Linked DNA regions of Mus musculus. The protein of the gene in region 5 binds, or shares a complex with, the protein of the main gene of each other region. Links are inferred from orthologs where the notes say so. Each region holds a gene or a part of one and is shown on either strand. Other genes may lie near its edges. The genes, in order: E2f6, Lin54, Lin52, Mybl2, Tfdp2, Mybl1 and E2f1.

Region 1 (3,736 bases), on a different chromosome or scaffold from region 5:
TTCAGTTAAGACCTCTGCTTCATCATGTGAGCAGCGACAGTCTTGGAGCTACCACACGGATAGCCGAGTTCTTTCTCCAAAGCTCCAAAGTCCTCCAAAGAAGTTCTTCTCCTCTGGTGTTGGGAGCTCTGGAGTACCAACTGTATTATGCAATAAGGTGTCTGGGTTTCCAAACCACTACAGAGGCATTGAGGTCACAGGAAGGCTAGTCTTTGTCCAGTCAAAAGATGTAAGAGGAAAAGATGAAATCAAAATAAGCCTCATGTAATCTGAACCATCACACACAAAGGAACTACACTAAATGAATCCTTTTGCCTGGGTCTTATTAACCCCAATGGTTTTCTCCTAAGAAATTAAAAATGTGGTTGTTTGTGTTTAGAGGCTAAATGTGTAAGGGGCATTTTTTCAGTTGTGATTTCCTGTCTTTCCCATTGGGAGCTGGCCTCGCTCTCCTCCAGTCCACCATTCCCACATCCACATGGAGAGGCCAGTCTAGACATCACTGTCACTCCAGCTCCTTTCTGCTCTGGGATCCCATCCAAGCAAGCTGGGTGTGATTTGCTTCTTAGAGAGCTCTAAGCCTCTTATATCCTTCCTGGTACCAGACAGGTGAGACAGACTGACCAACTTTGTACTTGGAGGCTAGATAGTGTCAGGGCAGGCCTGGTTTAAATGGAAACCTTTCATCATTAAATAATGCAAGGAAATAATGTTGCTCCCAACTGTTAGTCAGTGGAAAGGACTTCAAAGTCCACCAGCCACTGAATCATTCTGTATAGGGGATTACTGGGGAACTAAGAGGTGGCTCACAGTTCAGAGTGTGTACCCCTCTCAGGGATCCGATTTGGATCCTAGCACCCATATCAGGATGGTCACAACCATCTGTAACTCCAGTTCCAGGGGAGCTAACGCAAAGGTCTCCCTGGGCATGTGCACTGACGTGCACATACCCATACACATACATGTAAGATTTCAAAAACATTTAAAAAGGAGATGGAGGAGATGGTGCCTATCGGGCCACGTTGTCCCTGTCACAACTACTTAACTCTGCCACGGTAGCATAAAAGCATATGGGTGATATCTAAGCAGATCCTTAAAGCCGTAGGAAGCCAGATGAGTTGAAGGCCACTGTGCCAGCCCTATACTAGGCACACAGTCCCCACTACAGCCTTCTGTAGTCAGAATATACTGACCCAGCACACTGCTGAGAACAGCCAGCCTGGAGGACCTCAATCACAGAGTTCTAATGGGACCAAAAGAGGCTCTGAGTGAGCTCAAAGGCTCAGAGCGATTTAGCAATTACAGTCAAGCAGCTCAGAGCACTGGGAAACCAAACCCCATTAATTCCTGTAGAATGGATTAGCCATGCCCCAAAGAAAAGAGGCGCTTCAAGATTAGTGGCTATTTAATTTAAAAGGTTTCAGCATCTGTGGAATAACTCATCCTCAATATGTTATTGGGATTGTTGTCTAAATCCAAATCAAACTAAGGAGCGGCACCAAGTCACAACCTGAATGTGGCTGAGGGAAAAGCTAGTGCTCCTTCATGACTAACGATCCACTGTCAGGTAACAGGGTCTCACTTGGACCGTGTTCTGCTGGGGACAACAGAAAGGAGGGTGGTGTGACTATTCCTCACTACCTCCATGAAGAGCTGGGTACGAGCAGCTGGGGGACACCGGGCTGTTAGAACTCCCTGGTCTGTGCTAAGAAGGGTCACCGGCTTTGGTTTTGACCCTATTCTCACGAAGTGACCTTCTGGTGACAATCACACTCAACGCAAACTTCCCTGGAGCAGCTAGCAGCAGCCGACACCAAGGCTGATCTCAGGAAGGCTGTACATCTGTGACTCAGTGTTCCAGCTCATTCCTAGGCTTCGGCGAGCTCACCAGTGCTCTGGCTGGGCCAGCTATTACTTTTTGAATTTGAAGCCCAAGGCCAATAGTGTGATCGCTCCTACAGCCCAACAGCAGCAACATGGCTGAGAGCGCCTGCAAGCCACCCTGTCCTACACTGGTCCTGGTGGTCACTGTGTGCACTCCTGCCTCTCTGGGCTGACCCTCCCATCTCCAAGGTTACAGGGATTACCTCACTCACAGTTAAGGTGTAGAGCTTGACAAGCACATGGTAACAAGTGACTTGGTGGTCACTGCTGTGGCGGCCAACCCACCTCCTCCCTTTTTAAGCCCTCTCTGCAGTGCAGCGCTACCTACTTCTCTGGGAGCTGGAACATCCAGTCTGGTTTCCTCTGGAGCCTTCACTGCAATGACAATCTGTTCATGGAAAGCTTGAATGCCGTGAATATCCTGATAGGTTACATACGCTAGTGTGAGACCTGGTCAAGGATCTGACAAGATGGGCAGATCACCACCCCACAACACCGTCCTTCGTTTTGTTGTTGTTGTTTTGTTTTGTTTTTGGAGGCAAAGTCTCACTGTTTAGCACTGGCTGGCCTGTGCTACATAGACCAGTCTAGCCTTGAACTTAGAGACCTGCGTTTCTCTGCCTCCTGAGTGCTGGGAATGAAGGCGTGCACCACTACACACATCACTATCTCTTACATGAATGCAGGTATAAGAATAGCTTAGCTTTTATGGAATACAACCTTACAATGAAGGGAAACAGAAAAAAAAAAAAGCTTCAAAATAATTATTTCAAAAAGAATTCTTAAGATTTTATGGTGTTTTATGTATTTGTAATTCGAAGAACTTCTTTAAACCAAATATTGATTACAGCAATTTCTGGAGAAAAAACATTAATAAAGCCCGAATCCTGAACATAAATACTACTCATGAAGGTAGATATCCCCTTGTCCTTGGGGTGGGGCTGGGGGTAGATGTTACAAATCCCCAGCAGATGCCCAAAGCCACCGACTAACAGCAAACCATACATAGACTGTGCATACAGTACCACAGTAAGGTTAAATTTATAACCAGGCACAGTAAGAAATCAATAGTAAGAGTATAATTATAACATACAGCAGACCGCAAATTATTTAAAAACAAGTTACTTGTAGAATTTTTCCTTAATATTTTTAGATGATAGCTGCAGCAGAGATTACAGAAAGCAAAGCCACAGGAAAGGGGAGCCCACTATGATCAAATCCCCAGCTACAGTGCATTCAGTGTAAATTCTCACTCACTGTTACTTAGCTCTATGAGAGCTTGAGAGGTAAACAGTCACGGTTTGGGTGAGCGTCCTCCAGAAGGCAGGGAAACCACGTCTGCAAACAGGAAGAGCTCCCAGGAAGCTCTCGGTGCCGCCATGCAGCAGCCAACATTTCCTTTAAGAACACTGACTGAACACTGCCTTTCAGCTGCTCCCGTGTTGGCAGATACAGCGGTCACTCGGTGCAGTTGCTCTGCCTTCCTTCCTTTTAGACTACAGATTCTGGCTGGCTGCGGCACTGCAAGCCTTGGCTCAGATTTTCTAAGACCTGTCCTGTGGTAATAGGATTTCACTGCCACGGAGAGCAGGGAGGCGGGCAGGAATTCAGGGCCAACTCAGAATTACTGACACTCACAGAGGACACTGAAAGTCACAGAGAGCAGGACAGCCAGCTGGGGGCCTGGGAGAGGCAGGTGCAGAGGGCCAGCCTCTTCTGGTTCCTGCTCCATGAAGCTTCTACACAGAGTGGTGAGTACAGACACTAATTTGGTCACAGCGTATTCTGTTTCAGAAATGAACTACCTCACAAATTAGGGAAAACCTGATTTTCACAAAAGCTGACAAACATC
Region 2 (4,092 bases), on a different chromosome or scaffold from region 5:
TAAGAATATTATATAATTTATCTTATTAGTGATAATAATAAAATATTAGTAATAATAGTAAATAGCAAAACAGTAAAAATTGTAAAATAATAGTAATAATAACAAAAATGCTCGTATTATTAAAAAATGGGAAGGAGAGGGGAAAAAGACATCAACAAATTTAGGTGAGCATGCTGGTATCACCCTACTGTTTTTGTCTTTCTCTTAGTATATTTGTGTGTGTGTGTGTGTGTGCGTGTGTGTGTGTGTGTGTGTGTGTGTGAGAGAGAGAGAGAGAGAGAGAGAGAGAGAGAGGGAGGGAGAGAGAAAGTAAACATGTGCGTGTACGTGTGGGTACAAGTGGAGGAGACAACTTTGGATGGTTCTCGTTGGGCACAGTCTACCTTGTCTTTTGAGGAAGGGCTCAGCTGCAGCTGGCCTGAGATTCACCTAGGAGGTTACGAAGTCAGCCCATGAGCCCTGGGATTTGCCTGTCTCAGGCTCACACCCAGCCTTCTGACGTGTGTTCTGGTGATCAATCAGCTCCATCTTGCCCAGCTGTATACAATTTCTCAAAAGCATAGCTTTAATTACAGTGTGCACTTACTGTGTGTGTGTGTGTGTGTGTGTGTGTGTGTGTGTGTCTGTCTGTCTGTCTGTCTGTCTGTCTGTCTCTGGGGCTGAGGTAGAAGAGCTACAAGGCTGGAGAGATGGCTCGGCGGTTAAGAGCACTGAGTGCTCTTCCGAAGGTCCTGAGTTCAATTCCCAGCAACCACATGGTGGCTCACAACCATCTGTAATGAGATCTGATGCCCTCTTCTAGAGTGTGTCTGAAGACAGCTACAGTGTACTTACATATAATAAATAAAAAATAAATCTTAAAAAAAAAAAAAAAAAAAGCCGGGCAGTGGTGGCGCACACCTTTAATCCCAGCACTTGAGAGGCAGAGACAGCGAATTTATGAGTTCGAGGCCAGCCTGGTCTACTGAGTGAGTTCCAGGACAGCCAGGGCTACACAGAGAAACCCTGTCTCAGAAAACCCACAAAACAGTTCAGAATGCTTTGCTTATTAGGGTTGCTTTTTCCCTTTTTATTGTTAGGGATAGGATCTTACTTTGTGGCTCAGTCTGGCTTTATATTTGTAGCTCTTCTTTTTTTTTTTTTAAGATTTATTTATTTATTATTATATGTAAGTACACTGTAGCTGTCTTCAGACACCCCAGAAGAGGGCATCAGATCTCATCACAGATGGTTGTGAACCACCATGTGGTTGCTGGGAATTAAACTCAGGACCTTCGGAAGAGCAGTCAGTGTTCTTACCCGCTGAGCCATCTCTCCAGCCCCAGTAAGTGAGATGGAAGGAAATGGAAAATTCAGGTTGGCAACAGCTTAGAGAGCGGAATTAACTTTGTCACCCTAGGAAGAACCCTTACTAACAAGGACCGTCTGAGCATCAGCTAGAGAGAGGTTCCGGGTGAAGCTGACTTACTTCCCTCCTGCACTGTTGAGAGCTGGGGTTGGCCTTGTAAGGAGGTCTGAGATCTGAGAGGACAGCTTGGTCTTCGCTGCTGTCTGCTGCTGGACCCTTACTTCAGCCGCATCTGCTAAGTGCATCAATGTCTTCCGTTCTGGGCTTTCTTCAAAATTCTTACAGCCGATGCATTTGCATATAGAAGAACACATTATTTTTGCCTGAAAGATTTACAAAAGAAAAGTTTCCAAATCAAAAGCAGAAAATATCACAGTAAGTAGATTCCTCAACAGAAAAATAATAGCATTAGCTTGTCAACAGGTATCTTAGATGAAGCAGTTTCTGCTCACAATGGCTATGCCTGTGGGTAAATCAAGGATTAAACTGAGAACAGTGCTTCACCTCAGGCCTTCCCACTCTCTCCCACTGATGACCCATGTAGGACTAACATTTTCTCCTGAATGAATATAAGACATAAAAATATTTTTAAAATCACTAAGATTCTACTCAATGAAATCACCATTAACATGACTGTGACCTCTCACGTATATAAACTCACAATTGCACATTTAAAAGTTTTCATAGCTGGGCTTGGTACAGACAAGGCAGAAAGATCGTGAGACCTTATCTCATCAGGACAAAGGAAAGGAGATCTCAGGCACTCTTGTTTCCTCCTCCACTGAACCAGTTTCCCAAGCCCTTCAGTAACTCATCCATAAACCAGTGTGCTCGCCTATGTAAAAATATAAAGTATGCTTACATGGAAGCACAGACTGAAGCTAGGGCTGACGGCCCACATCTATAATCCTAACACCTGAAAAAGGGAAGCAGGATAGTCCCTAGTTCAAGGCCATCCTAAGCTATAGAGTAAATTCAAGGCCAGCCTAGGCTACTTGAGACCCTGCTGCAAAATAATACAAACAGAACAAAAAATAATCTCGAAAACCCAGACTTTGGGTACACGCAGCAAGTAATGAATACAGAACTCTCCCTTTTAGCTTGTTTTACAAAATGGCCCTCCTACTTCAGTGTGCCCTTGCCCCACACTTCATGAAACTCCTTCTCCAGCTACCACAGCAGGATCCCTGGTATCAGGGGCCACAGTTTTGGCTCATTCATTTACCTAATAATGGGTGTGCATTTTGTTTATAGTTCATGAGAAACAAAAGCAATTCATAATGGTTTTTTGTAAGGAGAAATGTCTAAATACAGCTTCTATTTCTCTGAAGACAAATTTCTTTTGAAGAGACTTCATTAAGTGTCATGGTTAGGTTGCTTTTGCAGCCTAACACCTCTCCCTCAGCAACAATATGCACACTAAGGCTTCCTAGATTATCCAGAACACCTCCACCTCAGCAACAATGTGCACACTAAGGCTTCCTAGGTTACCAACAACAAAGAGAATGCACTATACTCTTTTACTATTTCCCAAAACAATATATTGGTTGTTTTTGAGATGATAGCGAGCTCTCTATATAGCTCTGGATGTCCTGGAATTGACTATGTAAACCAGGCTATTCTTGAATTCACAGAGATCTACCAGGCTCTGCTTCCTGTGTGCTGGGTTTAAGGCTTGCACCACAGTGCTGAGCTTCAGTGTGATGGGGAAGGCCATAAAAGGCAAAGCACACTGTTTTCACACTTAACTCTTGGACAATTTAACTATTGCTTTTGAGCTGCATTTTCTTCGATAAGTCCATGTCTAGTTAACTAAATAAAGAAAACTCTGTCCTTTCTATAGAATCTAGCAAGTTAATCCTCTTGAATGCTGGAATGGCAGATATGGACACTGCACCCAGCTGACTCTGCTAGATCTTTCTTTCCTCATGTGCGTGCCTAATGTCTGAAGAGGCCATAGGGGCACTAGATTCCCTGGACCTGGAGTTACATATAATTATAAAGTGATTGTGTGGGTACTAAGAACCAAATTCAGTAACTGCTTAACTGCTGAGCCATCTCTCTAGCCTACTTGTAAATTCTTTTTCCAGTTTTCACCTTTGTTCTTCTGTTTGGTTTCCGTACACAGGTCTCACCATGTACCTCTGGCTGGCCTGGAAGTTATATAAAGCAGGCTGGTGTTGAACTTCTACAAAGTCACCTGCCACTACTGCCCAACTTCTGGGATTAAAGACAAGCCAGCACATCTACCCTCCCCCTCTTTATTCTTTGAGATAGGGTCTGTCTATGTACCAATGGCTGGTCTACAACTCAATATCAATCAGGTTAGCTTGAGAGCTGTGATTAAAACTATGTGCCACTGTGACCGCCCAGCACCGTTTTTGTTAAGACAAGATCTCATTAGGTATTCAAAGCCAGCCTTAAACTCGCAGTGATCAGCCAGGCAGTGGTGGCGCACGTCTTTGATCCCAGCACTCGGGAGGCAAAGGCAGGCGGATTTCTGAGTTCGAGGCCAGCCTGGTCTACAGAGTGAGTTCCAGGACAGCCAGGACTACACAAAGAAACCCTGTCTTGAAAAACCAAAAAAAACCCAAAAAACAAAAAAACAAAAAACAAAAATAAACAAACTCACAGTGATCCTCCTGCCTCACTCTCCTGAGTGCTGATTACAAGTTTCCAATGCCACACTTGGTTCTTCTCTTAGGGGCTTTTCTTGTTGTTATGTCTGTTTGATTTGGGGGGGG
Region 3 (4,092 bases), on a different chromosome or scaffold from region 5:
TCTCGGCCCTGTAGAAATGGTAGCAGCCATCGTGCAAAGGCCAGAATCCATGGAATGCTACACAAATGTAAACTAACGAAAAGTAAATAAGTCAAAGAACTTGGGTTTGTGGCATTGCAGTTTCTTGAGATGGAGAAGGTTGGGTAAGTGGATTTTGAACATAGCGCTATTAAGGGGTTTTCCCTACGTGCAAATGGAGAGGGACATCAAGGAGCCTCTTGGACAGGAGGACAGGTAAGCCTTGAAATAGGAATGGTCATTGGTATATGATGGTGGAAGTTGTAGAGAGTAGAGCCAGCACAGTCTGAGATCTGAGTGGAGCAGAGTGAAGGAGGAGTCACTAAGAGGAAACAAGCGCAGCAGTTTCATGAAAGCATCTCATGCTGTGGGAGGTCATAGCAGGGACACATAGAAGTGGGACGGTCTGGCAAAGGGAAGCTTGATAACAGTAGTTTCAATGCACTAGGGACTGAACTAAGAGTTTTATAGGTTAGAGGGTGTAGGTCCTGGGGAGATGATACATTGTAGGTAAGCAGCTAGCTTTGCAAATATGAGGACCTGAGTTGGAAGCCAGGCATGGTTGTACCACCAGCTCTGTGGGTGTGGGGAGGGTATGCCCAGAAACAGCTGGATCCTGAGAGCATGCTGGCCAGCTAGCTTCTTAGTGAGCCACTAATAGACAAAATAAAAACATTTAGCATCCTTTTTGGTGTTTATTGTCATATGCCTATTTGTAGACTTATTACATCCATATATGCATGTGTGCATGCACACACACACACAGAGTGTGAGGTGTGAGAGTAAGGACAACGGGATACCCAGGAGGGAGGCTATGAGTTTAAAGGGAGAGTTTGCATGTTTCTGTGTGTGTCTGCACTCAGACATGCATATGGATACTGGTGCATGTGTGTACATACATGTGGAGACTTGGTTAACATTAAGTATAGTTTCGCTCTTTCTCTCATTTGTTTACTTATTTTTATGAGACAGGGTTTCACTATGTAGCCCTGGCTGTCCTGGGTCTTACTTTGTGTACAGGCTGGCCTCAAACTCAAAGATCTACCTGCTTCTGCCTCCCTTGTGCTGGGATTAAAGTCATTCACCACCATCACACAGCAAAGTGCTCTTTTAATAAGTGAAAAGGGAGATAAATTCTAGATCAGGCTTGCTTGTTGGCTCTGAGTCTAAAATAGAAACTTCTGCTACAAGAAGACTGTCTGAAGTGCTTATTAAAGCTGAAGACAGTGGTCTACAGTCAAGATTATCTTTGTTGAGAGCAGTGACACTTAGCTGACTGTAACTGGAGACAAGTTGAAGAGTGTAGGAAGACAGGTGGGTTTGCTGACACTCTTCTTTACAAGGGGTTTTGCTGTAGTCTGGGCTGGTCTCTCAATGCTCCTGCCTTAGTCTCCCAAATGCTGGGATTATATGTGTCAATCACCATGTCCACCTGATACCCATTTAAAAAAAAGTTTATGTGTATAGGTATTTTGATTGCATGTATTTCTTTGTACTACATGTATGCTAATTGGAATTATGGACAGTTGTTAGCTGCATGAGGTGCTGCGGATTGAACATAGGACCTCTGGAAGAGCAATCCATGCTCTTAACCACTGAGCCCTGATTTACTTACTTACTTACTTTCTTTCTTTCTTTCTTTCTTTCTTTTTTTTTTTTTTTTTTTTTTTTTGGTTTTTCGAGACAGGGATTCTTTGTATAGCCCTGGCTGTCCTGGAGCTCACTTTGTAGACCAGGCTGGCCTTGAACTCAGAAATCCTCCTGCCTCTGCCTCCCGAGTGCTGGGATTAAAGGCGTATGCCACCCCGCCTGGCTGAGCCCTGACTTTCTTTTTCTTTTTCTTTTCTTTTTTTTTTTTTTTGTTTGTTTGTTTGTTTTTTTCTTTTGAGACCTGACTTTCTTAAACACTTATTTTAATAAAGTGGAAGTCTGAGTTTTGATGAGGGAGAATCAAATTTATTTGTATTACATCATGCCCCAATAGGGCTTCAGGGAATCAATAGTTGAGACCTCTGAACTTCTAATTGAGTGTTTCAGGCTATGTTCTTTGAGATTGAAATATAATAAAATGAGAATGAATGCATTTCTCATCCCATCTTGGTGTTTGGTTCTAGGGACGGATTTGGAAGCATCTTTGCTAAGTTTTGAGAAACTTGACCGTGCCTCACCAGATCTCTGGCCAGAACAGCGTGAGTTATGACTTTTCTCATAGTAGAATTGACGCAGGAGAGCCGGCGCTCCCTTGGGAGAATTTTATAGTGTTATCATGGATCTGATGACTAAAATTTTTATTTTGGTTTAAAGAGAAGAGATTGATGTACAGTAAAAATAGGGACTTAGTGGTTTAACTTTTCAGAACATTGCAAGAAGTGATAATGAGCTTTTAAACAAAATTATAGTTTTAAAACGATATATCTGAATTTCAGACAATACTGAGATGCACAAAGCATTTGTTCATCTCCTTTAGTGAAATAGTTAAATATTGTTTGTAATTTTATTACAGACTTGTTTGGACTTTTTTATACGTGTACAGATAAGCATATACATATGTATGTTATGTATTGTCTGCATGTATATCACACAGGAATTTTTGGTTTTCATAGTGATGATGTAATATGTATAGAGCTTTCAGCTTAACTTATTTCAACAGGAAATTTGATGGATCGTTCCATGTTGATCTTTGTAGGTCTGCTTCATTGTTTTATGTATATTACAGTGGACAGGTATATTCTAGCTTCTATATTCACATTCTATTTGGAAACCTAACTTACCTCATTTGTATTTCACAGGCAGTGTATCAGTGAGTATCCTTGCATATCTATCCTGTATGTAGAAGAGGATGACTGCCCATTTTCTCACTAGCCAGTGTCACTCCTCATTGTTATGTTTAACTTGCATTTCTTTTAGGTTAAATTATATTCATTATTGGGCTGAGGGAAGCAGCCACGTGCCATGACGCATGTGTGGAAATCAGAGGACAGCTGGTCCGAGTCAGTTCTGGCCTTTTACCATAAGCCTGAGACTCTACAGTTCAGGTTGTTGGCTTGGTGGCAAGTGCCTCTCTCCACTGAGCCCCAGCTTGTATTTCTTAGTTAACAGAATTGAACATTATTTCCCTCTACCTTTGTATTTTAGCTGCTTTGCTTTTTAATGTGGTAGTATCCATGAGGCATTTGCATAAATAAACCAAACAGGACAACTGAAAAGAATGTTTAGCTTATTTATATTACTTATTTATTAGTAGCCCTGGGGTTCAAACCAAGGTCATGTGCATGCTAGAAAAGCACTCTATCCTTGGTCTAAATCGCTAGCTCTGGAGAGGGGGTTAAAACTGAGGCGAGAGATAGCTTACTGTTCTCAGGCCCAGTCCTGGCCCTTTAAAGCGGGAGGCAGTGGTTTCTCAGAGAAGCTTCTTCCGCCCCTTCGCTCCCATGAGAGCTTATTTGTTTGTTCTTGTCTTCCTGTGACACCTGATGCTTTTCTGAAGTGCTTAAGTGATGCTGATAATATATGCTCTGTCTTTTTCTAGAGTGTAAGCTACTTGAAGGCAAGATTTGGTTTTCAGTTTTTTAGGTTTTTGGTTTGTCCGTTTGTGTTTTGTTCTTTTCAGACAAGGTTTCTTTGTGTAGCCATGGCTGGCCTGGAACTTGCTCTATAGCCCAGAGTGGCCTTGAACTCACAGAGATCCCCCTGTGTCAGCCTCCTGAGTGCTGGGATTAAAGGTGTGCACCACCACCATCACCCAGCATTTCTTTATTATTTAAGTCCTCAGTGCCTAAACACAAATGCTTCCTACATGAGTAACTTTTTTTTCTTTTTTAGTACCAGGTGTCGCTGAATTTGCAGCTTCTTTCAAAAGTGTAAGTAAAACAACTTCTGTCTGTGGAAGTTTATCCAAAGTTTGCTCTTGGGTAAAAGGCTCAAATCTTTATTTTCAAGACTAGTGTCATAGTCTTCTAATCCTTTTTTGACTTTAGACTTTTAAATATGTTTAGATTATCAGACTGCTAGCTGCTGATAATCCCTTTCTCTGCTTAAATGTTTCACTTTGCCATTCTGACCCTTGCCTGTGAG
Region 4 (4,658 bases), on a different chromosome or scaffold from region 5:
AAAAATGCATTTATTTTATGTGAGTACACTGTTACTTCCTTCAAATCCACTAAAGAGGGCATTGCATTTCAGATGGTTGTGAGCCACCACGTGGTAGCAGGGAATTGAACTCAGGACCTTTAGAAGAGCAGTCAGTGCTCTTCACCACTGAGCCACCTCTCCAGCCCAAGGTTTTCCTTTCTTTTTATCTGGATTAAAGGCCTATTCCACCACACCAAGCCTAACTTTGTTCATTCTTTCCAATTCTTGACTGCACGTGGGCACAATTAAGGGAGAGCATAAAACTCAGAATACAATTATTTGATGTCTGGAGGCTTTAAAAAAAAAAAAAACTAACATGGAAGTTTTCGTTGTTTTTGTTTGTTTTTCAAGACAAAGTTTCTCTGTGTAGCCGTAGCTATCCTGGAACTCAATCGTAGACTCAGAGATCGGCCTGTCTCTGCCTCCCTGCTGGGTTTAAAGGCACGCACCACTATCACCTGGCTAACATGGAATATTTTACCTGCTATCAAAATCCTATTGCCTAGTTTGATGGTTTGAGGAAGGAGATCACACTATGAATGCTAGTTAGGGACTGGAGAGCTGGCTCCACTAAGGAACATACTGCCCTTGATGAGGACCTAAATTCAGCCTCCAGCACCCTTCCCACAACCTCCCAGCTCCAGAAGGGTCCAGCCACTCTGGCCTCTGTGGGCACCTACACGCAAGTGCACAAAACCACCCACAGATACATAACTAAGGGAGAAAGGCAAACAACCAGTTTTTCACAGAACTTGGTTAATCCTTCCCCGGGACCTGCACTCGGTCACCTCGAGCAAATACGAAAGGTTAGTCAGTCATATGTAACTGGGAAGAGTAGAGATTTCCAAACGAGCAAGACGAGCCACACTTTGTGCCCACAAGTGTGCAGCGTTGGTGTCTGCACAGCCCTCCCTGTCTTCCCTCACACTCAGCACAGCCTCCCTCCCTGTCACTCCTACACACATACAAGCACTCTGGAAAGCCAGGTCCAGCCCTCAGCCCCAACCTCTGCTCTTGACTTCACCCACAAAGGTCAGCTCCAACTTCACATCCTGGAATTTGGCACAGAAAAGGCCTAAAGAAATATTTGCCCAGGGAAGGAGTGGATTTGTGAATGAATGGATACTTGCAAAGATGCTGCCTACGAAACAATTCTAAAAAAAAATCCCGACGAAAACGAAAAGAAGTTCCTAAGCCTAGCAATACGCGTCACAGAATCCAGAAAGCAGATTTGTATTGTCAGTGCTGACCCAATGCACGCCCCACCTACCATTGTAAAGCAGGAGGCAAAATCTACTAAACATTATCAGTTGAGTTTGCTTCTCCAAAACCCAGCACGAGGCCCAGATTCTATTAGAAGCTCAGCCGGTGTCCTAGGGAAAAGGCTCTGTGTAAGAGAGCCTGAAGCCTCAGTGCTGTGTAATAGTGACAGTATTTGGAGGGCGGGGGTCCTTTGAGATAGGTATCTCTATGTTGCCTTGGCTGCCCTGGAACTCACTCTGCAAACCATGCTGTCCTGTATACTGAAGAGATTCACCTGCCTGAGTGCTGTGATTAAAGACATGTGTTGCTGCTACCCGGCATGGTCACACTATTAAACAGATGGGAGTATCCATCAGTCACACACCTTCTTGCGCATTCTCAAGGGCTCCATTTAACAGACGGGAAAAGTGAGGCCGACAACGATTATGTCACACCAAGCTCCACATTTTTACACCCTAACCTCCCTAGGAACCGTAGCATGAAAAGCAGAGGCCAGTGTGCTGTTTAAAGAAAAGTCACACTTTTGTATATACACATACCCTTTCTCTTGCCCTTGTACGTTCTGGGCTATGCTCCAGGGAAAGGTGAGTCAGAGGCCAAGAGGGAAGTGGGCCACTGGGGTACAGGGAGTCACACCATGTGGCAGAGAAAGGCTCGTGAGGATGCAGGGGCACAGAGTCCACACTTCACAAAAGAGACCCTCAGATAAGCCCGGGGCTCTGGGATTAGTACTTCCAGATGCCCTTCCTGGGCACTGAACTGTCCTAGACACCGGGGCATGGGAAGCCACCCTGATCAGCACCCACAGACCAAACCAATACCCAACCCAGCCACGAAGAACTCTGCAAGTAAGCAAGCAGGCATCTCTGTGCCTTATCTTCATCCTAGGCCAGGTTCGGCCATCTGAAGACGGTGGAAAGGCGTTCTGAATTGGAAAGACCCAGAAGGAACACAGCAGAACCCAATTATCCCACGCCTTAGAAAGGCTGGAAAGCCCCGCGATTAGGCCCCAGATACACAGGTGTCCCAAAAGTCCAGACTTGACCCAGCCACCTAACCTCTAGGGAACTAAGAGGGAAACCCAGTTCCTGCCTTTGGCTCAGAGGCTGCTAGCAGAGCAGTCTCGTTGCACACCAATAGTCTTTACTCATCCCCAACTGCCCAAAACTAGCGTGGGACAGGAAGAAGGCTTCTGAAACCAAACCGAACCGGCCGCCGAAACCCCATGAGACAACGAATTCCCCGTCTCGCATCCCGCGGAGGGCCCAGGGGCTTTGTGCTTCCCGGAATGCTAACAAGAAAGGAACGCCAGCAAATTCGAGCCACTCTTGATCGACAAGTGTCTCCCAGGCTTCTGCCTTCCACTCGCTGCGACAAGGGGAGACATTCTCCCTACCCAGTAATGGGCCTCCAGCTGACACCGCGAGCGACAGCCTTCCTTCCCCACCCTGCAATTAGGCGGGAGATGATGGACCTCACCCAGGGCTGGGACCCGGTCTAGAGGGGGAACCCGCGCTTTCAGACTCCCGGGCCCAGGAGGCCCAGGAACCGAGCGAGGGGGTCCCGATAGCCTCTTAACGTGGCGCGCGCCCCTGCATCGGGCGGCGCAGGGTGCATTTCTCCCGGGGATCCCCATCTCACGCTTGCCGACCCAAGGAGAAGGGAGAGGACCCCAGCGCGCCCGCAGCCTCTCACCAGCGCGTCCGCCGAGACATCCCCCCGGCCCGGACCCCGCCGCACCCTTACGCCCGCCGGCCGAGCCCGGAGCGGGAGCCGGGCCGGGGTCAGGACTCAGGCTGCTCGAGCCGCTCCGGGCCCCAGGCGGTGCTCTCAGGCGTCAGCGTGTCTGCAGGTCTGGTCGCACGTTCCCAGGAACTGCAGCTGCCTAGGGAGCGCACAGAACCACTTTCCTATCTCCCGCCAAGTGCGTCGGCGCCGCCCGGCCCTGGCGCGCGAGCGCAGGGGCGGAGCATACGGAAGGGGCGAAGCGTACAAGACACGAGGGGCGGAGCCCGCGCGCCAGAACCCTAGGAGGGGCCTACTGTAGGGGCGGAGCCCAAGCATGGGGAAGAGGGGAGTGGTTTACCGGAGGGCAGAAACCGAATGTGCAAGCGGGCAGATGCTCTGTTAGTTGGCAATCTACTGTGTCCAGATACACCTACCTTAGGGATTCAATGAGGCGCGAGGCCTGGCTCTGTGTGAATCTTAGATAGACCCCGAGCCACACACATAGCAAAGACTGGAAGAACTGAATAGGAGAAACTTCCCGCCCAAATTGTCACTGCTTGGGACGGTCCAAGCCACTATCCCTAGAGCCCCCATGCTCCCTTTGACTGGGTTTGTATCTTTTCCTTTGCAAGCCTCTTGCTTCTTCAGCTGCCTCAGAGAGACCCAGCTCAAAATCCCAACATTTCTCTCACCAAACTTAAACCTCTCTTCTGTCCGGGTTAAATCTTTGTAACTCCATTTAGTAACGGCCTTCCAGATCACCACGCCAAGACACAGAGAGGCGAAATTAAGTCTTGCAGCTTTTGCTTGGGCCGTATTTGGACCAGGAACTCCCCACATCTTCCCCGACTGGGGTCTCCTGCCCATCTGCTTGCATTTGTGCGCATTTCCTCTGCTGAACTGTGAGCATTCTGGGATCCCAGCAGCCTTTCCTAGGAAATGTATTAAGCCCAGGGGGAAGGCTTGTTGGCTTACGTTCAATTTCTGATGGCAAGGGTTGTCTCTTTCAGGTTGTCATTTACTACCTAAAAACTGAGTGTCATCTTACTGGGACTCCCTGAAAGGATAGGAGCCTGGAAGAACCCCAGCCAAATGCCCTTTAGGCTCAGGCCTCAGATCTCTTTCCAAAAACTGCTGGCCCCTTTTAGACAGTACAACTCCGAAAACTTCATTTACTACAGAAGGATGAAGACTTGAAAGCTACAAGTTTTCACCTGGCTTAATTCAAGGCTTCCCCCCACCCCTCTCCCTTCAAAGGAGTTCATGTGGATCGCTGCTCTTCACGGCTAGTGTGCTTTACAGTGAGATCTCCTCGGGGGTGATTCCCAGCCTACCTTTCCCTAGTTCCATTATCTCAAATTATCAAACTTCTCCATGCCTGCTTCCTCACCTACAAAAACAGTTCATAGAAACCTTTGATCTTCATAACAACCCAATGAGTTATATGCTTGTATTACCCGATAGCAGATGGAGAAACTGAGGCACTGACTTCCCCAAACTGTAGTTCTAGAGTTTATAGTAAGGAAAGGGGTAAGGAAAGGGCAAATGGCTTTCCTCCTAGCATCTTTGGCTTGTTTGCAAATTAAATGGATAGGAAATAGATTAACGGGAGGAAACTCAGGTTTAATTACTTGCATATCCATTGG
Region 5 (4,092 bases):
AAACTATAAGGACAAACAGGGCTGGAAGGAACTTGGTGGTAGGTTGTATCTTTATCATGCAGAGCCATGCAGTCAATCACTAGTACCAAACTGGGGTGGGGAGGATAGTGAGAAGGATGTTTAAAAAAAAACCAAAACCCAGAAGCCTCATACATTGCTTAGGAGGATTGTACAATGGTATAGTCATTGTAATAACCATTTGGCACTTAAAAAAAAATCCAAGTTTTACTCCAACAAAGCCAAAAATATGTTTATAAAACAAAATGCTTATAAAAATTTTTAAAAGAGTTATTTATTATTATATATAGGTACACTATAGCTGACTTCAGACACACCAGAAGAGGGTGTCAGATCTTATTACAGGTGGTTGTGAGTCACCATGTGGTTGCTGGGATTTGAACTCAGGACCTTTGGTAAAAGCAGTCAGTGCTCTTACTGGCTGAGCCATCTCATCAGCCCATAAAAATGTTTAAAAGTAGTATCATTCAAAATAGCCCAAAATCCTAAAGAACCTAATGTGTACCAACTGATGAATGGATGAAACTGTGGTACATCTATAAAGTGGAAGGAATTGGTACAAATTGAGAAATTTCAAATCTGAAATGTTCCAAAATCTGAAAATTTCTAAGCACTGACATAATGCCAAAAGTGTAAAATTGGAGCTCATGTGACAGGCCACAGTCAAAGCATAGGTTATATTAAACTAGCCTGGGTCCCCTGGGTACAGCTGTATATAACGATACATAAACCTTATGTTTAGATGTGGGTTCCATTTTTCAAGTAACAAACTTAACTATAAAAAGTACTAAAGGATGCCCCTGGTGAAGCCAGTCCTGAGTCTCTAAATTGCTGCATTCTGTGTGAAGATTTAACAAGTGAGTGAGAGGTTCAGTCAGGGATCTGTTAGTGTGGCTAGCATACCTGTAATATAGCCTTCTAAAGCTTTTGGAACCAGGGATTTTGCGATTTTCAGATCCTCCAGAGAGCATTTGCCTGACTCCAGACCAAAGGACATTCCCATCCGCTTCAGTACCTCTATGTCGTCGTGGATCTCAAAGGTGTTATCAAAATTAAAAAGGTATTCAAATCTGCAAAACAGAGCAGGTACAGGGGTGAGGGAGGTCAAGGTGCCAGACAGGGAGTTCAGTGCTTAGATCACATGTACACACACACATACACACACACACACACACACACACACACACACACACACGCACGCACGCACGCACGCACACGCACACCCTAAACACATCATCAGTTTGTCTTTAAGAAATAAAGGAGGTTTGAGGGTTTTGGTGCTACAGAGAAACTCTGACAGATTTTATATCCTATGCTTTGTTTAATTTACTTTTTGTGGTGCAAGGAAGGAGCCCAAGGCCTTATGATTGCTTGACAAAAGCCTTCTGAACTATACCCCAGCCTTTTCTGCACTTAAATAATGGAACAAGAGCCTAAGCTCAGCCGCCATAAAGAGCACTTAGAACAGCAGCAGGGCACACGGCCATTCTCAAGCAAAGCCTTCGTAACCTTTCCAGGTCAGCTGGCCACACAAGTCCACTAAAGCCCCGGTAATGTTACACGAGGGGAGAGAGAAACTCTGTCCTAGAGACAGTACTCTCCAAAGTTGTCTACAGCTTTGCTATAGAGAAAAGCCTTTCTAACTTGGTTTGTATCTCTAACAGACTGGTTGATTGGTCTTGAGGAACCATTTTGGATGCTTAATTCATTTTCCTGAGTCACAGGCTAGACACAGCATACTTCTGTCAAGCATAAAGACCTTTCTTTTAAGATGGGTTGTACCACACTGTAGTTTAAACTTAAACTCCTGGACTCAAGAGATCCTTCTAGATAGTTGGGACTTGAGGCCCTTGTGCTAAACATACTTGAATTAAATGGAAGACATTTTTAACAAACCAAACCCAGTTAATCCTGTCTTGAGAAGCTAAAGAATAAATCTTGTCAGTGTCACAGGGCTGAGCAGGGTGGCTTGTACTTGAAATACCATCACTTGGAAGCCTAGGCTACAGAGTGAGAATCTGTCACAAGCAAATAAAAATTACCATATAAAAAGTACACAGCACCAATCAGGACTTCCTTGAAAGGTAGTCAGTTCAGATGTCTAGCTATACAGAACAACAATCAAGAAGCAAAGATAGGGACAGCAAGAAATAGCTGAAGCTTGATCCCCAGGACATATTCTGTGGAAGGACAGAACTAACTGACTTCCAGTTCAGGCCTCAAGTAGTGAGTTTTACCTTGTTATGGAATTCTCTAGTAAAATCATGTGAAGTTGAGATTTCATCTTACTACATCTTACACCAGGAAAAATCTATAACTTGAAGCAAAATGCTAAGTATATGAGTCTGAATAAAATACGTTACCAAGCTTAAAGTTCATCTGAAGTGGGTACCTTGCCAGAGGGCTGATTTCAGGCATCCCTTCCATATAATGCAGATGGCTTTGTAAACTTAATTTCACTGTGGGAAAGCCTCCTGGCTAATTAAGGGTAAGATTGCTTCACAAAGCAATTGACAGACAAGATTAGTGACCTACCTCAAACAACAAGCGTGTACAAGCTATTCATGAATGGATGCCAGGCAAGGCATGAGTCAGCGACCACCCAAGGCACAGAACCAAAATAGATTCTAGCCTGGGTGAACAGTGCCCATAATCTGCTAAGGTCAATGGTTCCCAATTTTCCTGACACTCTTTATTTTTTAATTTTTATTATTTAAATTGTTTTTCAGACAAGTCTCTTACGCAGTTCTCCTGGTTGATCAATGCTGACCAGCTTATCCCAATCCTGTGCTCAACCTCCTGAGGTTATGTGCTACACGCTCAGCTGCTGAAGCCCTTCAACCTAAGAAGGTAATTTCATATTCCCTCATAAAAGACGAGACTAGCTTTAGAAAGTAATTGCCGAGATGTGTTACAGTCTGACATTTATAGGTTGCTTCCAGAGATGTTAGCCGTTGTGAAGACTTTGGTGTTAGGATGTTAGTTAGCAGTCCTTCCTGACATAGGTTTCTGAAGTTGGTGGCTGTGAATAATAATCTTGACACATAACATTTTACTGGGCTAGATATTGTGTGAATTTATCTCTAGCTTTTATAAATTATAAAGTAAATAACTGATTTTAATTTTTTAGTTCTTGAATCCATTTTATTTATTTATTTATTTAATGCATATATGTAGCTGTCTTCAGACACACCAGAAGAGGGCATCAGATCCCATTACTGATGGTTGTGAGCCACCATGTGGTTGCTGGGAATAGAACTGAGGACCTCTGGAAGAGCAGCCAAGCACCTTTATCTACTGAGTTATCTTGCTGGCCCTAATTTTTTTTTTTTTTTTTTTTTGTGGAGGAAGCAATGAGATCTCAAGAGAGGCTAAGAAATTTAAAGAATGAAAGCTGCTGATCCCCAAGAACAGCAGCTCACACTAATAAAACGATGCAATGAACAGGACTGTTGAAAAGTATTCTCGCAGCCGAGGGCAGCGGAGGGCAGAGAGGTGAGAGAGCTGGTTTTCCTCCACCCTGCTCCACAGAGCAGGCAGAGCTGCAGCTCTAACCCACAGCCGGACTCATCTCATCCTCTGTGTACCTCTAACTTCTGCCAGAGGAAGGGTAAGATAGAATGAACGCTCTACTCTGAAAAGTACTATCTCTTACTTGCTAAAGTGAATGGTGTCAATTATTTAAATTGTTAAAAATATTTTCAAAGCTCCTCTGTTACTTTCCACTTATTTTTTTATGACAAGTTTTCTCACTGAACCTGATGCTTGCCGTCTGCCTGGCCGGCAAGCCCTGGCGAACCTGTCTTTGTTATCATTATCCTCACCCACCCTGCCCTACAGCTAGGGCTATAGTAAGCCTGGGACACCAGCTTTTATGTGGGCGAGGGGGATCCACACTCAGGGACTCCATGTTTGTGGGGTAAGCACTTTACGCACTGTACCATCTCCCCAGCCTAAAGCAGGAGTTTACTGTTCACGTAGTGAGTAATAAGCAAACGCAGCAGGTGCTAAGGCACACACTTTTTCATCTGAGCACATGGGAGGGGTGGAAGGAAGATGACGTCAATGAGACCC
Region 6 (4,092 bases), on a different chromosome or scaffold from region 5:
AAGTGCATTCTCCACTGTACTGTTCAGACACCTTCTGACAGCCACTAGGACTGCAGATCTTATCTTAGGCAATTTCATATCTTAACTCAGAATACATATCCTCATGCTTCATAGCTATAGTCTCTATGTAGTACTTATAGTAACTAATATGCTTTTATATGCATTCCTTAATCTTTGTATACTTTAGAAATATGTAAAGGAAACATTAATGCTTTGTTTCATAGGAAATTAAGATGCAGTATTATATTTTCTTTTGTCCAAGTTACTATCCCTGGGCTGTGAACTTCTGATATATTCAGTATTTTATGCACCTTTTTACTCTGTGTAGAACCTCACTTAGTGCTTTAACAGAGTGGGTTTCTAGTAAGTGTATATTTTATGCAGAATGAAATTTATACTACAAATAGCTTTAGGTTCATCTTTATAAAAAGAACCTTGGGCAAAAAGGGAGCTGATGAACTCATTGTTTAAAAATATAATATTCTGAGAAATAGTTAAGAATATTTGAAATCTGTAACTTGTACTTTTCTTTTTCTTCCTGTCTCTTCTTAATGGAATTGAGGATTGACCCCAGGGCCTCATTCATTATAGACAACTAAACAAGCATGATTTTTTTTTTTTGTTTTTTGTTTTTTGTTTTTTGTTTTTGTTTTTTGGCAGTTTGGGTTTTTTTTCCCATTTCCTGTTGCAAGGCCTTTGTACTTGGTATGCCTTTTATCCAGAGGCTCTTTCTTTTATTTTTTGTTTTTGAGACAGGCTCTTACTATGTTGTCCAGGCTAGCCTTGAATTCCCTCATCTGTTACCTTCAGGCAGATGATCCTACGCCTGCCTTTTTTCCTGTTCTTGTACTGGCAGCTCATCTCCTCTTTGAGGTCTCGTGGCTAGAGATCTTTCTGGTCCACCTATCCAGACTTAACCCCACTGCAATGATAATCTTGTTTTTTATTTCTTTGTTTTTGTCTTTCTTCTGTGTTACTATGCTTTCAGTGAGAATTTAACCTCGGTGACACAAGGGACTAAATACTCAATTTTACCAGTTGTAAAAATATGTCTTATAAGCCGGGCTGTGGTGGCCCACGCCTTTAATCCCAGCACTTGGGAGGCAGAGGCAGGCGGATTTCTGAGTTCGAGGCCAGCCTGGTCTACAAAGTGAGTTCCAGGACAGCTAGGGCTAGACAGAGAAACCCTGTCTCGAAAAACCAAAAAAAAAAAAAAAAGTCTTATATATTTGTTCAAGTTTGTGCTAAAATTTGTAGAATTCCTTTCCCCTTTTAAAATTATATACTTTCATTTCTTAGGACTGATAATTCTATCAAAAATCATTGGAATTCTACCATGCGAAGAAAAGTGGAACAGGAGGGCTATTTACAAGATGGAATAAAATCAGAGCGGTCTTCATCAAAACTTCAACACAAACCTTGTGCGACTATGGACCATTTGCAAACCCAGAATCAGTTTTACATTCCTGTTCAGGCACATATTTTTAATATCTTTATTATTTAAAAACAAGTTCTTTAGTTGCTATATGGGAACTATTGGATTGGGTTGGGCTTTTTTTTTTTTTTTTTTTAGGACAAGTAAATTTTGTTTTGGGGAGTGACATGGATAGACTTAAATTTCTAATCTGAAAAAGTAAGCCATAATTTTGACAAATATTTTAGTACAAATTTCACTTGAAAGTTTCCTTCTATATGTGATTTCCACATTGAGAAATATAGTGCGTGCATATAATAGTACTCTTTAATTCATTTCATTTATGGACATAAAGATGTGCTTTAACATCTATGTCATTTCTCCTCCAACATTGTTCTGTGTAATGTAGTATTGCCTATCTCACAGGTGTGTACAGAGCAGTCTAAAGGAGAAGTAGTAAAACGATCATGGAAACAGTCCTTTGGGAAACAGTAAATAGCTGATCTTTGATCTTGTTACACTGCTCTTTGCCTGAGTGATTTAGCCTTCATTTAGACAGACTCATTAGAGGTTACCCAAATTCAAATTCAGGGAGCTCTCTGTCTTGTCCCCTACAACACACATTTACCCACCTGTAAGAAATATGTTTAGTGATCTTCATAAGACTTGCTTTCCCCTGTCTGTATATGTATTTATAGTAGACAGTTCTTAGTTCTTTTTACATAAAATGTAAAAGGCTGTTAGGACCAAGTAGTATCTCACAAAAGATAGACTTGGGCACAGTGTTAAAGTCTGCTTCCTAAGCCTCAGGTTTCATTTCATTCTACTTTTTATGAACATTACTAAGTTCTTTTAGACTTACTTTTAAAAGAAACAAAGTAGTCACATCTTAATTTATAAATAGGAAAACATGGGACTACAGCAGTGTAGTTAACTGCTGTCATTTGACCTTAAGGATTTTAATGTTTTGTTTTTAAAACATTTTCTTTAAAGTTTTAGATTTCAATAGTGTAAACAGCAAGGTTTTGCTTCTGTCTTAGAAAAATTACCATTTAAAGTTTTTTTGACTTACAGAAAGATAATTTTAAAAATTACTTGTTGCCAAGGGAGTGTTTGACAATCTCAACCACAGTGTGTTGAAGAGGATAAGGGTAGTGTTTAAAATATTAAGAATTGTTTCCCATTTAACAATTTTGAAAACTTTATATAATTTAAATTTTAAACTATTAAGAAGATAATTCTAGCCTGGCAACTTTGGCGCATGCCTTTAATCCCAGCACTTGGGAGGCAGAGGCAGGCGGATTTCTGAGTTCGAGGCCAGCCTGGTCTACAGAGAGAGTTCTAGGACAGCCAGGGCTACACAGAGAAACCCTGTCTCTAAAAACAAAAACAAAAACAAAAATGGATAATTTAGTTTTTCTTAAGAAGTGTGAAGAAAAAATATGTTGGTTTGAAATACTGTGGCAAATTTTCATTGAAAACTTTGAGAAAAATAAGTTCCTAATCTATTGGAGCTTCCAAGTTGAGCAATAACTGATCCTAATTGAGTATTGTCACAGCTAACCTCTAGGTTAGAGCTCAGATAGAATGATTTTTGCATTAGATGATGATTTAGGCCAATATAGAAAGTAGACAGATTATACTTATTTGTATTTGATTGCCAGATTTTTTTTTACAAACATCTCATACATTTTATTAGTGCCCCTAAATTAAAATAAACTTTACAATTTTTATTACCAATGTTTTAGGAATGAGGCAGTGATACTTAGTGTGCTGTCAGAGTGTCTGTTAGGACTACATGCCTGACTCTGATTGGTTTCTACTTGAGTAACAGAAAAAGCCCTCTTTTCTTTTTTTCTTAGAGATTGATAGTAGGTGGTGATAAGAGTATGAACACAATTTATTATCTTCTGTAGGCATTAGGGGAGCCCTCAAAAGCTGACTTTTTAAAACATATGGTAGATGATGTTGGTAACAGACAATTGGCTGATAGAACCAGGACTGGAAGCCAAGTGTGGTGATATATACCTGTAATTTCAGCACTGGGGAGGTGAGGGCAGGAGGACCAGGACTTTGAGACCAGTCTCAGCTATATAGTTAGCTCCAGCTTGCTTGGGCTTCAAGACAAAACCCTGTCTCATAAAATCAAAAGACAAAAATACAAATCTAAATGTAGGTTATTTCCTACACTTAGGGTTTTATCAGTAGATTCTAAGGACAGATGATACAATTATTAAATAAAAAACTATTGTAGTTATGAGTTTTCAAAGTTGCTAGACAATATTCAGTCTCCAGGTTTTTGTTTTGTTGTTGGTTTTTTGTTTTGTTTTGTTTTTCTGATACAGGAGCTCAACATCTAGCCTTGAGATTTTACAGAGTTCTGTCTGCCTCTACCTCTTAAGCATTAAAGGCATGTGCCATCCTTCCCAGTGTTCCACTTTTAATGGACATTTTATCACAACCTTTCTTGACATCAGATTCTTAAAAAAACGTATAACCTCTAGCAATACTTTACTTCTTGTTTCAGATCCCTGGGTATCAGTATGTGTCGCCTGATGGCAATTGTGTTGAACATGTTCAGACATCTGCCTTTATTCAGGTAAGGCTAATTTGTAACAGAACCACAAAGGAAGATAGTAACCATGTGTTGCTTACCTATAATCCCAGTTTTTGAGCTG
Region 7 (4,092 bases), on a different chromosome or scaffold from region 5:
GATGTGCATCAGGTGATCCAGCTGCTGCTCACTCTCCTGCAGTTGCTGCAGGTCCTGGGTCAGGCCTTCAAGCCGCTTACCAATCCCCACCATGGTGTGGCTGCCTCTGTGGGAAGCCAGTGAAGAATTAGCAGTCCTTGCGCCCCCAACCCATCCATCAGCCCTAACCCTCAAGACAATCTGTTGCCACCACTATTCTGTGAGAAGCTGGCAAGCTCCTTTTCCTCTGTGGCTCTGCTCCCCAGGTAGGCTTAGAGTAAGACTGGCACGGGCTCAGTAAAATGCTTGATCAGTCAACAAACACCCACCAAGGAGCCAGGTAAGAAAACAATAGCACAAACATGCCATGGAATGACACAGCTGAATTAGATACAAACGATTTGGAGACACACTATCAAGTAAAAAGAAAACAATACAGAATGAAGAATCATCTATCAAAAACCAAAGCAGATATGCCAGAGAAGGCAGCGGGATGCCTGGGGAGGCAGAAGGTACAGCAGAGAAGTAGAAACAAAACCACAAATGTATAAGGCCGATCTCAATGATGACAGCAAAAGCTGGAATGGTGTCAGCACAGCGGTCTAAGAATGGGCAACCATGGGAGAGGGAACAGGAGACCCTCAGAAAGGCATGCATGTGTGTGTGTGTGTGTGTGTGTGTGTGTGTGTGTGTGTGTGTGTGTGCGTGAGCGCGCGCGCGCGCGCGCGCTCACAAGCATTCACACGGGAAACCTTGTACAGCTATAGGGAACTGGATCTGCAAGACTTGCTCGTTCCTCCCCTTCTATCACCCCGGGGAAGGTAACTCTCTTAAGACCTTGGTTTCCCAGCTGTGGGGAATGCAGGAAGCCACTGCAAGCAATTTGGCTTGGTCTGGCTGTTACCTGCCCACCTGCCTGGTAAGTACTTACAGCCACTGGATATGATTCTTGGACTTCTTGGCAATGAGCTGGATGCCCTCCAGGACATTGGTGATGTCATAGATGCGCCGTTTCTGCACCTTCAGCACCTCAGCTGCCCAGTTCAGGTCAACGACACCGTCAGCTGAGCGGCTCAGCAGCTCCAAGAAGCGTTTGGTGGTCAGATTTAGTGAGGTTTCATAGCGTGACTTCTCCCCCGGAGATTTCACACCTGGGGGGCAGGGGTTAGGCTAGGCGGGGGTCCTCAAACACTCAGCCTGCCCCCAACAGGCCTGTCTCCCTAGCAATGTAGAGTGAGTGGCAAGATGAGGCAAATGTCTCCCTCCCCTCAGGCTAAGCAGAAAGGCTCTGTGGCTGTTGTCTGCCAACCAAAGCATTCCTCTTGTAGCTGGGCAACTCCCCACCTCCAAGGCCTGAGGAAGTCCTGTTGGGCAGCCTACTGGGGCCCCAGAGTGTACAACCATGTCCACACCCCTCCCCCAGTCTGGGCCTGAGAAGCTGGAGTCAATGGCACCTTTCCCTGGGTGGCGGCCTCTGCCCCGGAATGGCCCACTGCTACCAGCGAGGTACTGATGGTCAGTCTCCAGATCCAGCCTCCGTTTCACCTGTAGCAGAAACACAGAAAGTTGCCCAATAACCAGGACTGAGACCATAGAAGACTTAGCTAAGGACTTGGTATCCCAACCCCAGTCTGATGTCTGTTAGGATGCTAAGGTGTGCGAGCAGAGACAGATTCTGAAGGACACAGCATGAGGCTAGCATCCTACCACTCCAATCAGTCAAGCTCAAGACTGAAGACCCTGGTTCAAAATTTATGTCCAACATTACCTCCCTAGGACTGACGGTGTTTTTTAAACACACCAGCAAAGAAGAAATCATCGCTGTAATGCTAGAGGTTAATAAAGGCCCGTGAACACTACCACACAATCTACCAATTAGTCTCCTTAGCTCCTACAAATACAAGGTCTATTTAGCCCAGGCTGGCCTCAAACTTACTATGTAGCCAAGGATGACCTTGAATTTCTTATCTTCCTGCCACTAACCTCCCAAGTACTGGGCTTCCAAGCACAGGCCACCAGGCTTTCGGCTTTCAAAGATAAGGGCTAACTTTCTCCCCTTAAACGTAAGCTGGGCGTGATGGTGTCACTTCTGAGACTGGTCACTGGGACAGTGATGCTTCTTCTGAGGTGCTGGGTCGGGAGAAAGCGCTGTGCCATACTGTCAAGTAGCCCTAAAGATAAGCCCCTTTGGCAAAGAGCTAGAACTCCTCCAGGTAGGAGGAACATAGCAAGCTTGGAACAAACCCCACAACCTTAGGCCCATTTGCGACTACAGCCAGGGAGCTTTCTGGCTGCAACAGGATTCCATCTCAGGCTGGAAGCACCAGCTAAATCTCCCTCGAGTCCCGACCCACAGAGACTATACAAGTGCTTTAAGCCACCAAGGGAGGGGACAGGTCCCCCAGGCAACTTGCCTCTAGTTTTTAACTCATTTATGTATCTATAACCATGGCAGCAGCTGGAGCTCACAACAGCTTTGTGCTCAGTGTACTCTGTTCTTTGAACTGGCAACATAACAGCTCCGCTTTACAACCTATGGACAAGTGGCAGAGCCACAATTCCTACCCAGGTCTCTCTGAGAAAGACCCCAAGCTGCTAATCTCCATGCCCTTTAACATAAGAGTTCTAATTTCACAGTATTGGGAAGAAGGACGGACCTTGAAGTCCCAGGGATAGTTCAAAACACACTAACTGGACCAGACTCGCTATCCTCACACCAGCCACAGGCCTTTCTCAACTAAACCCTCTCAACCTGGCCCACCACCTGTCACATTCTTTTGCCAAGAATTCCTCCCACAGCCATTATCACCCTCCCACTGGACAGGACAGCTGTCCCCATGCTGCTCTCCCTCTACATCACTCTGCCTCAGTAAAGCCTTCCAACAGCACTCCTCACATGAACTGTGGAGATGGGCTTCTCCCAATCCCCACTCTAAGGATATCCTATGCCCCTCCTCACACCCAGAGCTGCCTCCTGCAGGACCCTTAATGCTCGATCAGTGGCTTCAGAGGGCCGTTACTCTCTATATACTGCCTCAAGCCTGGCTTTTTCCTCCATCCATTACAAACTACTAAAGATGTGTCTCTTCTCCCTGCCTACCACCTCCACCGAGAAAGTGTCACTGGACACTGGACCAATAAACCTCTGCATCCTTGTGTGCCACAAGCCTCAGTGTCAGTCAGTATGTGTGTGCTGACTAGATGTCCCCACCCTCACACTGCCACAGACTCCTGCAGACCAAGGAAGAAGACAGCATGAGATTCAGTTGATCATACACTGGCAGACACTGCTTCTGCTGTCTCTGCCAGAGCAGGGTGGTAACTAAATCCCATACATTTCCTCAGCAAACTCATATCTGATTGTTGGACCTATGCTAGCCTCCACCTTAGAAGATCTGTAGCCAGGGAGAAATCCAAGTATATGCACCCCATGGGCTGACACAGCCCCAAATACCCTTGTCCATCCCCAAAGGCATGCTTTAAAGTAAGAGCTCAAAGAGATGCTTGTTTCTGTCACTCATCTTTAGACAACCCTAGCACTGAGATCCTAAAACCCATAGGTGAAGATACAGATAGCTGAATGATTCAACCCCCTCCCCCCCCCCCCCCCACACACACACACACAGGAAGGGCACAAAAGCTTTATGCAGCCCCTGGAACAGCATGTAGTCTCAGTAACAGACCGAGGCAGGCCCAGGCCAGCACAGAATCTGCTCAGACACACAAGGAAACCACTGTGACAGGCTAACACATACATGGTCCCTTCCTGGACTAGAAATCTCAGGAGCTGTTCTCCAGTTTAGCTTCTAAGAGTGTTTCAGAAACAGGAGCGCGTCTGTGGGGGAGCCAGCGCAGACGGTTACCTCCTCTGGGCAATGTGAATGACGTACTGTTTGAACTCCTGATCCTTGGACCTCACTTAAGTACTGGGCTTTTAAAGGAGCCACCACACATGGCTCACAGCAAATTTTAGAACTATTAAAAACAAGACTGGGGCCTGGCACTTATTCAGCGTGCATTCAATTCTGGGTTCAATCCCCAACAGCATTAAGCACTCACAGCGACCAGCCAGGGATTCGTGTAATAAAACAACAGTGTCACACCTAAAACAAG

What was found.
Region 1: Tfdp2 (region 5) and E2f6 share a complex: the UniProt entries of both Homo sapiens proteins name them as parts of the DRTF1/E2F transcription factor complex. The link is inferred for Mus musculus from reciprocal best matches to the Homo sapiens genes TFDP2 and E2F6.
Region 2: Tfdp2 (region 5) and Lin54 share a complex: the UniProt entries of both Homo sapiens proteins name them as parts of the DREAM complex. The link is inferred for Mus musculus from reciprocal best matches to the Homo sapiens genes TFDP2 and LIN54.
Region 3: Tfdp2 (region 5) and Lin52 share a complex: the UniProt entries of both Homo sapiens proteins name them as parts of the DREAM complex. The link is inferred for Mus musculus from reciprocal best matches to the Homo sapiens genes TFDP2 and LIN52.
Region 4: Tfdp2 (region 5) and Mybl2 share a complex: the UniProt entries of both Homo sapiens proteins name them as parts of the DREAM complex. The link is inferred for Mus musculus from reciprocal best matches to the Homo sapiens genes TFDP2 and MYBL2.
Region 6: Tfdp2 (region 5) and Mybl1 share a complex: the UniProt entries of both Homo sapiens proteins name them as parts of the DREAM complex. The link is inferred for Mus musculus from reciprocal best matches to the Homo sapiens genes TFDP2 and MYBL1.
Region 7: Tfdp2 (region 5) and E2f1 share a complex: the UniProt entries of both Homo sapiens proteins name them as parts of the DRTF1/E2F transcription factor complex. The link is inferred for Mus musculus from reciprocal best matches to the Homo sapiens genes TFDP2 and E2F1.

The regions. Positions count from the first base shown.
Region 1 is NC_000078.6:16,820,684-16,824,419, reverse strand, and holds part of E2f6 (transcription factor E2F6), read right to left. Parts: intron 2,328-3,736; coding exon 2,213-2,327; intron 1-2,212. UniProt on the Homo sapiens protein: Inhibitor of E2F-dependent transcription. Binds DNA cooperatively with DP proteins through the E2 recognition site, 5'-TTTC[CG]CGC-3'. Has a preference for the 5'-TTTCCCGC-3' E2F recognition site.
Region 2 is NC_000071.6:100,445,056-100,449,147, forward strand, and holds part of Lin54 (protein lin-54 homolog), read right to left. Parts: intron 1,672-4,092; coding exon 1,469-1,671; intron 1-1,468. UniProt on the Homo sapiens protein: Component of the DREAM complex, a multiprotein complex that can both act as a transcription activator or repressor depending on the context. In G0 phase, the complex binds to more than 800 promoters and is required for repression of E2F target genes.
Region 3 is NC_000078.6:84,454,109-84,458,200, forward strand, and holds part of Lin52 (protein lin-52 homolog), read left to right. Parts: intron 1-2,132; coding exon 2,133-2,207; intron 2,208-3,840; coding exon 3,841-3,878; intron 3,879-4,092.
Region 4 is NC_000068.7:163,053,170-163,057,827, reverse strand, and holds the start of Mybl2 (myb-related protein B), read right to left. Parts: upstream 3,194-4,658; 5' UTR 3,000-3,193; coding exon 2,980-2,999; intron 1-2,979. UniProt on the Homo sapiens protein: Transcription factor involved in the regulation of cell survival, proliferation, and differentiation. Transactivates the expression of the CLU gene.
Region 5 is NC_000075.6:96,307,518-96,311,609, reverse strand, and holds part of Tfdp2 (transcription factor Dp-2), read right to left. Parts: intron 1,089-4,092; coding exon 922-1,088; intron 1-921. UniProt on the Homo sapiens protein: Can stimulate E2F-dependent transcription.
Region 6 is NC_000067.6:9,683,018-9,687,109, reverse strand, and holds part of Mybl1 (myb-related protein A), read left to right. Parts: intron 1-1,299; coding exon 1,300-1,474; intron 1,475-1,597; exon of another isoform or gene 1,598-3,824; intron 3,825-3,941; coding exon 3,942-4,013; intron 4,014-4,092. UniProt on the Homo sapiens protein: Transcription factor that specifically recognizes the sequence 5'-YAAC[GT]G-3'.
Region 7 is NC_000068.7:154,562,985-154,567,076, forward strand, and holds part of E2f1 (transcription factor E2F1), read right to left. Parts: intron 1,525-4,092; coding exon 1,434-1,524; intron 1,131-1,433; coding exon 911-1,130; intron 107-910; coding exon 1-106. UniProt on the Homo sapiens protein: Transcription activator that binds DNA cooperatively with DP proteins through the E2 recognition site, 5'-TTTC[CG]CGC-3' found in the promoter region of a number of genes whose products are involved in cell cycle regulation or in DNA replication.